3 linked regions of the Cricetulus griseus genome follow. The protein of the gene in region 1 interacts with the protein of each later gene in a biochemical or structural test. Links are inferred from orthologs where the notes say so. Each region holds a gene or a part of one and is shown in the gene's direction. Other genes may lie near its edges.

Region 1 (4,262 bases):
TTTCTGTGTTTCTGCCCTTTCTCCAGTCTCCCTTGGTCCAGTGAGGCATGCAGTTTTTCTCTGGCACTGCCTCCTTGTGCATAGTATGTCTGTTTTGAGGATTGTAAGGTTGAGTCAAGTTTGGTGACATGTACCTGTAATCCCAACACTAGAGCCTGAGACAGGAAGATACTGAGTTCAAAGCCAGTCTGGACAGCATAGCAAGGTCTGGACTTGAAAACCAAAACAGATTGCCACTCCCTCCCCCTAGTTCGTTATCCAATGTCAACCTTTAAATAATATACATACAAATAATATTTTGTGGACCGAGCAGGTTGTGCTTATATATTTAGGTCAACAACTAAAAGAGGCCATGAATTTGAGTGCAGGGGAGCATGGAGGTGTTGGAGGGGGCATGGGAAAGGAAAAATAATTTAATTATATTTTAATTTCAAAAAATTAAGGAAAACAGTGTTTTTCAAGATTGCTCTAATCTGTCTTTGGAGTCACTGTGACTCTGGATTTGGTACACTAAAGATCCTCTGGGATGTTGATCTCTCTTTAGGTCAAAGCCAGAGGGACGTACCTACTTAGCAAACTGAATGTCAGATTTTATTGACTTACTATGTGACTGAGAAACAAATATAGAGGCTCTTAACTCATGAAAGGTGACAGCTGGTAACTCATGGGGAATGTTCCTCACTTTCTACATTGATTAAAACAAACAACAACAAACATGGAGATAGGGTCTTACTATGTAACTGGATGATCTGGAATTCACTATTGTAGACAGGTTAACCTCAGACTCATATCCACCTGCCTCCTAAGTCCTGGAGTTAAAGGACACCACACCTATCAATAATGGATGAATCTTAAAAGTGTTTTAGTGAGTAAGATGTTTGTGTGGCTTTCTGAGCTATCAGTAAATTGTCACTGCTACCAAATATGGTGATTACACTGGCTGTAATCTCAGTATTGAGTCAGTGAGCCTGAGTCTATGATTTCCTGATTGTTTCCAGTTTCACCATAGTTGGTCCTTTCACAAACACTGCCCATGGATGTTGTTCTGTAAACCCCAGTAAGGGGCCCTGGGGGTATAGAGGCAGAGATTTCATTTTATCCTCTTGACTGGCTGCTGTGGGAAGTGCCAGCAATCTCCAAGACAGATTCATGGCATCTCAGGCTAGCTATCATTATCCCATCTTCTTGAGTGTTTCCAGGCTAACTACGGTCCCACTACTGCCTACCCACTCCCATTCTATCCTCAGAATGATTATATATTCATGTATAAAAATTCCACATATGAGCCGGGCGGTGGTGGCGCACTCCTTTTCCTTTAATCCCAGTACTTGGGAGGCAGAGGCAGGGATCTCTGAGATCGAGACCAGCCTGGTCTACAAGAGCTAGTTTCAGGACAGCCTCCAAAGCCACAGAGAAACCCTGTCTTGAAAACCACCCTTCCCCCCACCAAAAAAAGTCCACGTATGATATAGTGACACATACCTTTAATCCTAGCACCTGGGAGGCAGAGCTAGGTAGATCTGAATTTGAGAGCAATCTAGTGTACATAGAGAGGTCCAAACCAGTTGTATAGTGAGACTCCATCTGAAGATGACAAGAACCTACATACTAAATGAAATATGTACTGAAAAGTATATATGTTGTTTTATATATATATATATATATATATATATATATATATATATATATATATATAAAAATCACATCACATTTTTTAGGATAAGTTCTCAGTATACAGCTCAGGCTGGCCTCAAACTCTCAGTCTTCCTGCCTCGGCTTCACAAGTGCTAAGACTACAAGTGTGCACCACTATCCCTGGCTAGAACATTTTTTTGAGGCATGTGGGGAAAATAAACCCAACTAACTGTGTAACCAGGAAGCCTTGGGTTCCTGTTTTGAAATGGGCCTTGGATTGTATTGGACCACCATTTGTTTCATGTGAGGTATGGTGAATACTTTGCATACCTTGACTTTGTTCTCAGTCAAAGCCTTTCCAAAAGTTTTTCCTCACCTGCTAGATGGCAGGTCCCCTGTATAGGAATGCAATTAGATATACCATGGCCTTAATAAAAACAAGGGGTGTTTACTCCATAGAGCCAGTTTCTGAGGCCAGCACATAGCTCAGCAGGGAAGCACAGCAAGCCTGGCAGCTGAATTCAATCTCCAAAGTCTACATGAAGGTGGAAGGAGAGAACCAGCTCCACAAAGCTGTCCTCTGACCTCCATGTGTGCGCCTCCTTGTGGCTCTGTGGTTCCAGAGCTGCTACAGGGTTAGAAGGGTAGAGCTGGCCTGTGCTGCTGCCCATTGCAGTGTTACTGTTACCTGCCCTGTTTGCCTCTGGGTAGTGTGAGGGCCAATAGAGTGTGAGAGGTAAAGGGGCAAAGAAAGAAGTGTGAACCTATCAGCTTGCTCACAACATTGGGAGGCCAGCAGGAAGATAATGAGTTTGAGTCTAGCTAGGATTCCGGAGAAAGAGGCCTTGTCAGGAAAGGAAGAAACTGTAGCTGAGGTTGGAGGGCACCTGCCCTGCTCACCTGCTTGCTGCTCTGCCAGATGTGGTGCAGTAGGTTTCCTGGAGTTCAAAGACACTTGTTCAAGGTTGACTTTGGATGTGCTGAATGTCATGCTGTGCTGAGAAAACTTTGTAGTGGGATAAAAGAGTTATGGTGAGCAGACTTGCCGCAATCTGGGGCGGTCTGCTCTTACCGCCCAGTCCCTCTTGTGTCCAGGGAGGGCATCAACACATTTCTCCCTACACTCATGGCCTAAATAAAGGACTCCCCAAAACTGTATGTACTATGCATTTGCTGCTTGTTTCTAATAGTTCGTTGCCCCAGCATAGGGTAAAGACAAAGCCACAAAGCTAATGGTGGCCCTGTTTGGCTGTGCAGCCCACAGTTTAGGAAGAGCTGTGTGGGAGTCTGGAGGAGCCTCAGCGTGCCTCTGCCCTCAGAGGATCTGCACCTGTCCCAGCTGCTGAGTTCCACTCCAAATGTGAACAACTATTTTGGGAACGCTTAAGCCATCAGAAAAATGAATGGCTCCATGGTGGCTTGGCTCTGATGCACCCCTCAAAGTATGTCGCCTGGTTGGCCTCAACACTTTCTTGGTCTTTCTTGTTCTCCCTGCCCAAATTGAGACAGGCGCCAAGAGGCAACGACCTCTGCTCACCCCCACCCCATCTTCCATAAGTAGCTCCTAGAAACCCAAAGGCAGAGCCCCATCTATTAGCGGTATAAATAGAACCCACACAGGCCTGGCAGGTGGTGGCTCCTAGGTGGATGGAAAGCAGCCGACGGACAGGCATCATCCTCTAAATATAAAGATGAGTCTGCCTGGGAGAAGCCACTCCTGGGCTCCAGTGTAAAGTCTTGGTGCTTCTTAGAGGGGACATCCGTCACCATCTCTCTCTGCCTCAGCCCCCTCCAGGCTCCAGTAGTTCTGGGTGTGACCCTTCTTTCAGACCCAGGGGAAGGACTCAGTGCCACCCAAGGGGAAGGGGTAGTAGCATTTGCTCAACCCAGCCAACTAAATGAGAGTTCTGGAGTTAGGAACCTCCCCCCCCCCCAGCCCACTCTGACCACCACTCTATTCCATTCAAGAATACAATGCAGAATGTAGGGGACAGCTCTAATCTGGCCTCAAATGCCATGTGCCAGGGCCACATAGCCCCCATGCCTCCCCTCACTACCACCTCCTCCTCTCTCCAACAGTTGTCTGCCCTGTGACAGCTGCATGCCCTACACTGACTTACAGCCTGTGCCGGGTGGGGGTAGAGGGCAGTGTATATGGGTCAGATCTCTGGATTGGGGGGCTTTGAAGTAGGAAAGAATATGGAGTTCAAATGTGGGGCTTATTTTCTAACCCTACTTGGGGCCTGTGAACCCTCCCAGCTCACCTGACCATAGGGCTCCCTTCTCTTGGGCTTAAGCAACAGGGCTTGGTAGCCTGAGTTAACCCATAAATGGGGTATAATGTGTCATGTCATGAATCAGTACCTTCTCAGAGGCTCATGTACCCAGGGTGGGCAGAGCTGGGGAGACCTTTAAAACAGGTAGAGTTTGGGAAATGCAGACCAGTCATCTGCAAAAACAATGACCTTTGGCCCAGCACATCCCTTCAGTGAGCATTGGAGCCAGTTGGGAGGGGCAGACAGCTGGGGATACTCTCCATATATGGCCCGGTCCGGTCCTAGCTACCTGGGCCAGGGCCAGTCCTCTCCTTCTTTGGTCAGTGCAGGAGACCCGGGCGGGGACCCAGG
Region 2 (3,651 bases), on another chromosome or scaffold:
GCAGATGGGGGATTTTATCAATGTAGCCACATTGAGGAGAGCTAGAAAAGGGTCCTCATGATTCCCAAGTCCATCTTCACAGCATGGACATGAGCTTTAAATAGAGGGAGAGTTGGGGCTGGAGGTGTGTGTAAATAAGCAGTCCTGGTCAAAGTGTGGCCTGATTAATCACCTCAAATCTAGTTTGCAGGGAGGTCTAGGAGGTCCCTATGGTTAAGGCCAGTTAGACTTCAGGGTGCTGCCTCTCCCTCTTGAATAATCAGCATCATCTCGGGTGGGTGAGAAAGCTGCTCTTGCAGTGACACAGTTCCGGGCTGTGATTATCTCTGCCTTTAGCCTTGAAGGCAGGTGAGATAGGTCAGCAAGATGCCCCTTGAGGGAGTAATATATCTGCAAGCAGAGCTGAGCAAGTGACTCAGAGTAAGGGAGACCCAAGCCAAATGGAGGCCTAGACGCCCTTCCAGCTTCAGTTGCCCCTGGTCACAGGCAGGAGCCAGTGCTTTTTAACAAAAGCAGTTTCTGGATGCTTGTTATGGTATTGCTGTGCTTGGGCCAGCTCTGGCTGGATGCCCCCCCTTCCCTCCCTCCCAGGTACCCATGGCTCATGTCCCCACCCTCTGTCTCCCTGAGCATGTTTCTTTTATGTTTTCCACCAGTTATTGCAGATGAGATTCTTTTGTTCGACTTTGTTTGTTGGCGACAAGCATCCCCTGAGTACCTACTATGTGCCAGACTCTTTGCCAGACTCCTCCTTTTCCCTAGGAGTGCCTGGATGGGAGGGGAGGTGGCCACAGCCACAACAGAATCTTGAAGTCTGTTGTTCCCAGAGCTGAAAGGAAGCACAGGGGATTTTTGTGGGAACACAGGAAGGGCAGTGGCAATGGGGATATCACAGTAGTAGGGTTTACTGCTGGGGTGGGTATAGGGGACACATCCCAGGTGTGACCCACTATTTGAGGAAGACAGTGCTTATCCAAGTTTGGTGCTGATGCCATTCATGGGGTGTGGCAGTAATCAAGTATTTTGGGTTTTCCTTTCATCTTGTCTTTTTAGTGGGTGTATGGCAGATTTGGTCCCGGGCTTTAGAAACACACTGTAAGAATAGGTAGGAGGCAGAGAAACGAAGCTGGAATGTCTGGAAGGGGTGGTTGTGATGGTTTAGGGGAGAGATGATGCGGCACCTGGAACCAGTGCAGGTGGAGGTGTGTTCAGAGAGGTTCAGGACCCAGAGTCTGTTTCAGGCCTGGGCCCATTGTTTTCTAAGAGGCATACTACGGGATCATCTTTGTATGGCATCATTTCTGTCCTGGATACTAATCTTTTGTTACTCTAGGGTGTGGAGAGGAGACGGTGAAAGTATTTAGTGGACAAAGAGTTGAGCCTGGCTGAGTCTCCTGGGGCCACTCATGCAACCTCTCTGAGCCTCACTTGCTCTCTTGTAAAATGGGGTGGGTCAGAGTCTCCATTTTACCACCACCAGGTGTCACTGCAGGGCCTCCTGACGACTAAAGTCCTGTCACCGGATCTCTGCAGAGATCCGCCTGCAGGGGTCATTCTGAGGTCATCCAACTATGGCCCTCATGAGTGAGATGACCCATAAAATCCTAGTGATTCCATAACAATGAGGAGAATGGAAATGTTGGAGACGTAATGACAGTCCTTTTGCTAGCAGCTGATGCTCACAGCCTGCTTGTGGCACAGGGCATCATGCCATTTTCATGACTAGAATTTAAGGCTTCAAGGACTTCCCTTAACTGTTGTCATTGCCATCATGTTTCAGGAGTGAAAGCTGAGGCTCTGAGAGGTGATGTTGTCTGAAGTTATATGACCCCTCAAGGGCTGGGGGTTAGGTTTGACTCAGGCCTGACTCAGTCTTCTAATCTAGAGCTATCTTGAGGGGCCTCTCAGAAGGGAGCACAGGTCTAGCCAAAATGTGGTGAGAAGAACAGGAACCCTGGGGTCATGGCCCCGCCATGCCTCTCAGCAGCCCTGTGAGTGGGATAAATTATTTAACTTTGCTTGGGCCTGAATGGCACCATGCAACCATGAAAAGCTTGTCCTGTTATCTACACTGTCTACTATGCTGGGGTCACCAGCTAGTCCGAGGTGACAGAGGGACACACTGCAGTTATCTGACCCCAACTCTACCCCTGCAGATCTGGAGAATTGAAGGCTCCAACAAGGTACCAGTGGACCCTGCCACATACGGGCAGTTCTATGGAGGTGACAGCTACATCATTCTGTACAACTATCGACATGGTGGCCGCCAGGGACAGATCATCTACAACTGGTGAGGGACCTAGGCTGTCTGCTTGGTGTTAGTGGGAGTGTGTGGCTCCTACTGTGCCTGAATATGGTGACAAGAGGAAGAGAAATATGGTTGACCTCAGGGAGTCTGGATTATAGAGGCCTGAGTTCAGACAGCCATACCCTGCTGGGACCCATTCTCACCTAGAGTCACAACTCTAAACTTGCCATCGAATATGACATGCCCATCTTAGGGACAGAGACACACCAACCCAGCACCTCCTGCCAATCAATGACAAATCTTACTATCAGTTTATGCTCTCAGAGGCTTCCATTGTAGCAATATAGATGATTTTGTAGTACATAAACATGTAGTATTATTATATATGTCAATTACAATATTATTTAAATAATTGTTTTAAAGCAGAACATATAATCACATTGCTCCAAACCCAAGGCAGAGTCCAAAAGTGTCATTTCTGAACTTTTCATCCCACCTGTGCCCCTGTTGACTCAGCCACAAGCCCCGCCCTTTCCTCTTGACCAGTTTGGCGTTTTTATTTATTCTTTTCGCATAATTACTGGAAGGATATGTAATGTAAGCAAATGCTAAGTGTATTGGTCTGTGGCTTGCCTTTTGGCTACAGCCTTCCTGGAAACTGACAGCTTCCTGATGTAGGTGTGCATGTCTAACAACTGTACCATGCCTTTGGGTTGCTATACCACCATTTATCAACGAGCTCCCCACACCCATGCATACTTGTGTGCTAGTCACCTGATCTCATCAGCACCGTCAAGATTAATAACTGTTAGCAAACAGTCAGATATTTAGAGAAGTCTCTCTGTGTTGAGTTCCCAGAAATAGATCGCCAGATCAGTGTCAATGGACCTGTCATTTTGATAGATAGCCCCGGTTTCAAATTCCTGTATTCCTGCCAGCTACATGCAAGAGTCCCTGTTTCCCTGGCTCCACCTCAGCAGACTGTACTGTTAAACTCATGGATTTTGGTCTGATAGTTTATAAAGTGGTATCTTATTGGACTTTAACTTTGTATTTGGGGTCAGGAGAGGCAGAGCACTTTCATAGATCCAGGTAGCTCTGGGTCACTCCCCTAGCACTGAAAAACAAACATTAAGAAAATGATGGTAGCTCATACTGTTAATAGCAGCACTCAGGAGGCAGAGGCAGGTGGATCTCCATGACAGGAGGCTAGCCTGGTCTACAGATCAAGTTCTAGGACAGCCAGGGCTACACAGTGAAACCATGTCAAAAGAAAAGGAAGGAGGGAGGGAGGGAGGGAGGGAGGGAAAGGAAGGAAGAAAAGAAGGAAGAAAGGAAGGAAGAAGGAAGGAAGGAAGGGCGGGAAAGAGAATGGTGTCCCTATTACTAGACAGTTTCAGACT
Region 3 (3,651 bases), on another chromosome or scaffold:
ACTTACATGTGTTTGTTTTGTTTTGTTTAGTTTTGTTTGAGACAGGATCTCACTATATAGCCCTGACTGGACTGGACCTCACAGAGGTATGCTCTCCTCTGTCCCGTGAGTGCTGGGATTAAAGGTGTGGTCTCCATGCCTGGCTTTTGTTTTCTTTTTGTTTTCTTTTCACATCTGTCAGGCATGTTATGACTCCCCTTGGCACTGATTGTTCAAAAATCACCTCAGTCTGCCCAGAGGTGACTCACGGTTGGCTGTCCACTGCCCTCCAGAAAGCCCTGTGGTTTTGTCATTCTTGTTGCTATTCTAGGGGTCAAGATGAAGATGCCTGCAGGCCCCCTTGCTTATTTGGTCTTATTTGGTCTGTCTCAGATCTGAGGGCCACTGGTTCCTACTCGCCACCATCATCTTTGTTCCCTAGGCTCCTTTACCTACCCCACTGCATTTAGATTTCTGGAGTTGAATCAGACAGCTGACCACTGCATCCCAAACTCTAGGGAAAACCTCAACAGGCTAGTGGTTATGAAACTGCTATCACTGTACCTGAAGTGTGAGGAACTAGTCCACACTATTCTGTAGACTATCCCTTTCCCTAGCTGAAGTCCTTATGGTGTCTGGGGTGGTAACAGAGTCAGGCAGCAGCTTTCTCAACCTCTGGCCTCTTCCAAGTTCAGACCTAATACAACTGGAAACTCACCTTGGAGTGGAGAAGCTTCTCTGTTTCCTTTTGTTCTTTGTCTTGTTGAAGACATAAGACAATAAAAGGGAAGGAGAGAAAAAAGGAGAAAGGAAGAGAGAGGGGAGAGAAAGAAGGAAAAGGGGGGAGAGAAAGAAGAAACAGTCCCTTCAGCATTTTACACAGACTGAGGAGGATACTTTTCGAATAGGTGATTCTAACTCACTCACCGATGTGTAACATCTGACTCATTCTTAGCATTATTTTAGCCTTTCTACCATTTTTCCTTGCTATATGGTAAAAGTTAATTTAAAAATCACAACATTGAGGCTTTTTGTGAGAAAATAGCTGAAAACATATCTCCAAATTGACTGTACACAGATATTAAGAAATGCCTTTACCACAGATCATGTTGAAGAGCAATAATATATGTATTATTCATTAAAAGGAAAAACACACCTATTTTCTATATCTGCTTTCTAGGCCGAGACTATGAAAAGGATAAAGTTTGCAAGGAACTTGCCATGCTGGGGAAAGATGACTTCAGATCTTTGTAAGTTGCAATATCTATCCATTTCTCTTGGGTACTTGACCAGAACAAAACTGAGCACAAGGAAACTTCCACACTGTCTAGAATGCTGCCCTGGTCTATGAGATGAGGAAAGAGCCTTGGACTGTGGACCAAGCAGGTGGAGGTCAGCTAGAGATGCCAGCTGAACTAACCATTGGTAAATTTAATGAATGTAATAGAAAGTAAATATAGGCTTCTGAGGAGAATTAGAAGTGCCCATTTTTTTTTGGACTCTGGAAAATATAAGCAATGACCTGTATAGTATGTTCTTTGGGGTAAACTCAAAATAGACTCCAGGCTGCTTTGATGGCAACTACAAATCCAGTTTTTACTGTATATAAGATGACTTTTCCTATAGCAAATGCCTGACGTGTAACCTCATACTCTCACTATTAGTCAAATAAAAAAGTTAATGTATGAAATATTTCTTTTCAAAGTTGAGTAGATATCCTATTTGGCATAAGTCAAAATTCCAAACCAACCAATTCAACTCCAACTAACATAACCACTTTTCCCTCAGATCACTAATCCTATACAGCAGGAAGTTTCCCAGTGGCACATTTCAACAGGTCAGCCAGCTGGTGAAGGAAGTTGTCTCCTTAACTGAAGAGTGTTGTGCTGAGGGGGCTGACCCCAACTGCTATGACACTAGGGTAAGTGTGTATCTGGCCATCTCTACCGTGGCCCCAGAAAAAGGAAGTGGCCTTTATGTTACCTATCCAGGACACTGGATTTCAAGCCACCTACACCTAGTTGTACGGAAAAATAAAGAATATTATTTATAGCGCCAGCATTTATTCCACTACTTAGTTCCTTTCACTCATTGTTGCTACAAGGGTCAAAAGAAAAACAATTGGGATAAAGTAACTTAATGACTTACTAAATATATACTGCTAATGAGAACTGTGTGTAGGATTTAAAATCAGGTTGGAATATTGACAAACCATTTTAAATCACTCTAAATTTGAACCTCAGAAATACAAACTCTTGAACCTCTTAAAATAATTTAAATACATGCTCTATAGCTTAAAATCCTGCCTACATCTTTAGTTCTATGCTAAGGTTAGGACTAATGACCACAGAAAAACAAAATGTTAGCTTCAAATTATTTGGGTCACTCAAATATTACTAGGCACACAATTTGTATGTATTTTTAGATTCTAAGTATTTTTAAACGCATGTTTCCTGTGTGTGTGTGTGTGTGTGTGTGTGTGTGTGTGTGTGTGTGTGTGTGTGTGTGTTGTTTTTCTCCTCTATAGCACTTACATAGAAATTGAAATCCTGAAGGAAAAAGAATTGTAATTCAAAGTATCGACAGTAACTGATAAAGGTGGAAATAAGTAGACGAAACTTTACTAATGTGGTTTAGCCCATATACAAATGACAATAAGTAGATTTGGCTAAAGGCCTCCACAGAAAGATCAGTGTCTGCTCAATACCATTATTAGAATAGATTCTATACAATGAATATCCTTACCCACTGATTGCTTTATTTGCCCCCCCAACCCCTCTGTTTTACGTCATTTCTTTTACCATCAAGTTCATCAATACTCATCATTTCAGTCTCATTCTGTACCACATCAGACTGAATATGCTTCAAACTGTCAACCACACTCAAAAGAACCAGTATGTTTTCATTTCATTGCCCTCCCCATGTATTTGCTGCTGCATGTCTTTCTGAGATATGACTGGAGCTTTCGAGAGAGATAACATGGACAGATTTTGTGTGACACCTTTATCCTACTCATTCTAAGCCTTCATTTATTATTTTGTCCTGTACTAATATTTGTTCAACTTCTATTTTCATGTTGGGATAACTGAAATCAGGGAAATACAGAGGAGTTTCTATTGAGATTAATAAAATGGAAAAGGAGATTGGCTGAAGACAGAGATGATTTTCAAAGGCAGATTAATTCTTAATTTCTAAGAGCAATGAAAAGAAGGTGTACATGAGAAATGATGAGTTGGTTTGACCGACTCATTCAGTGTGTTGCTTTCCTTCACTGCTAGGAAAGGTCTTTAGAAAATGTACCTTAAAAGGATAAATAATATATATCAAATGACTTTTCTTACATAAACACCAAAGTGACTTTCCCAAGTTATTTCTACTTATTTTTCTCTATATCTATTCTTTCATATCAATTTATTACAAACATCAAATTACTTCCAATTTTCCCCTACAATTTCTTTGGTGGTGTTCTGTCCTTCAGCATGAATGAGAGGAGCAGGGCAGAGGCTGTAAATGACAGTGACCACTGGTTTCCCGCACTTACCAAGGATAAGACCTGAAATGGGAACATAGATTTTCAGTCCCCATCTTTGAGCTACTCTGAAAGTGTTTCTTGTTGAGTAATTGTGATATAAAATCCTGCTACAAAGATGACAGGCAACTGCAACATGCAGG

The links.
Region 2: the proteins of Acta1 (region 1) and Gsn are reported together in a solved structure, tested with the Homo sapiens proteins (3 studies listed by BioGRID and IntAct). The link is inferred for Cricetulus griseus from reciprocal best matches to the Homo sapiens genes ACTA1 and GSN.
Region 3: the proteins of Acta1 (region 1) and Gc are reported together in a solved structure, tested with the Homo sapiens proteins (2 studies listed by BioGRID and IntAct). The link is inferred for Cricetulus griseus from reciprocal best matches to the Homo sapiens genes ACTA1 and GC.

Annotation. Positions count from the first base shown.
Region 1 is NC_048596.1:200,578,225-200,582,486, reverse strand, and holds the start of Acta1 (actin, alpha skeletal muscle), read left to right. Parts: upstream 1-1,384; 5' UTR 1,385-3,038; coding exon 3,039-3,077; intron 3,078-4,262. UniProt on the Homo sapiens protein: Actins are highly conserved proteins that are involved in various types of cell motility and are ubiquitously expressed in all eukaryotic cells.
Region 2 is NC_048599.1:147,119,720-147,123,370, forward strand, and holds part of Gsn (gelsolin), read left to right. Parts: intron 1-2,156; coding exon 2,157-2,290; intron 2,291-3,651. UniProt on the Homo sapiens protein: Calcium-regulated, actin-modulating protein that binds to the plus (or barbed) ends of actin monomers or filaments, preventing monomer exchange (end-blocking or capping).
Region 3 is NW_023276807.1:154,301,429-154,305,079, reverse strand, and holds part of Gc (vitamin D-binding protein), read left to right. Parts: intron 1-1,159; coding exon 1,160-1,229; intron 1,230-1,767; coding exon 1,768-1,900; intron 1,901-3,651. UniProt on the Homo sapiens protein: Involved in vitamin D transport and storage, scavenging of extracellular G-actin, enhancement of the chemotactic activity of C5 alpha for neutrophils in inflammation and macrophage activation.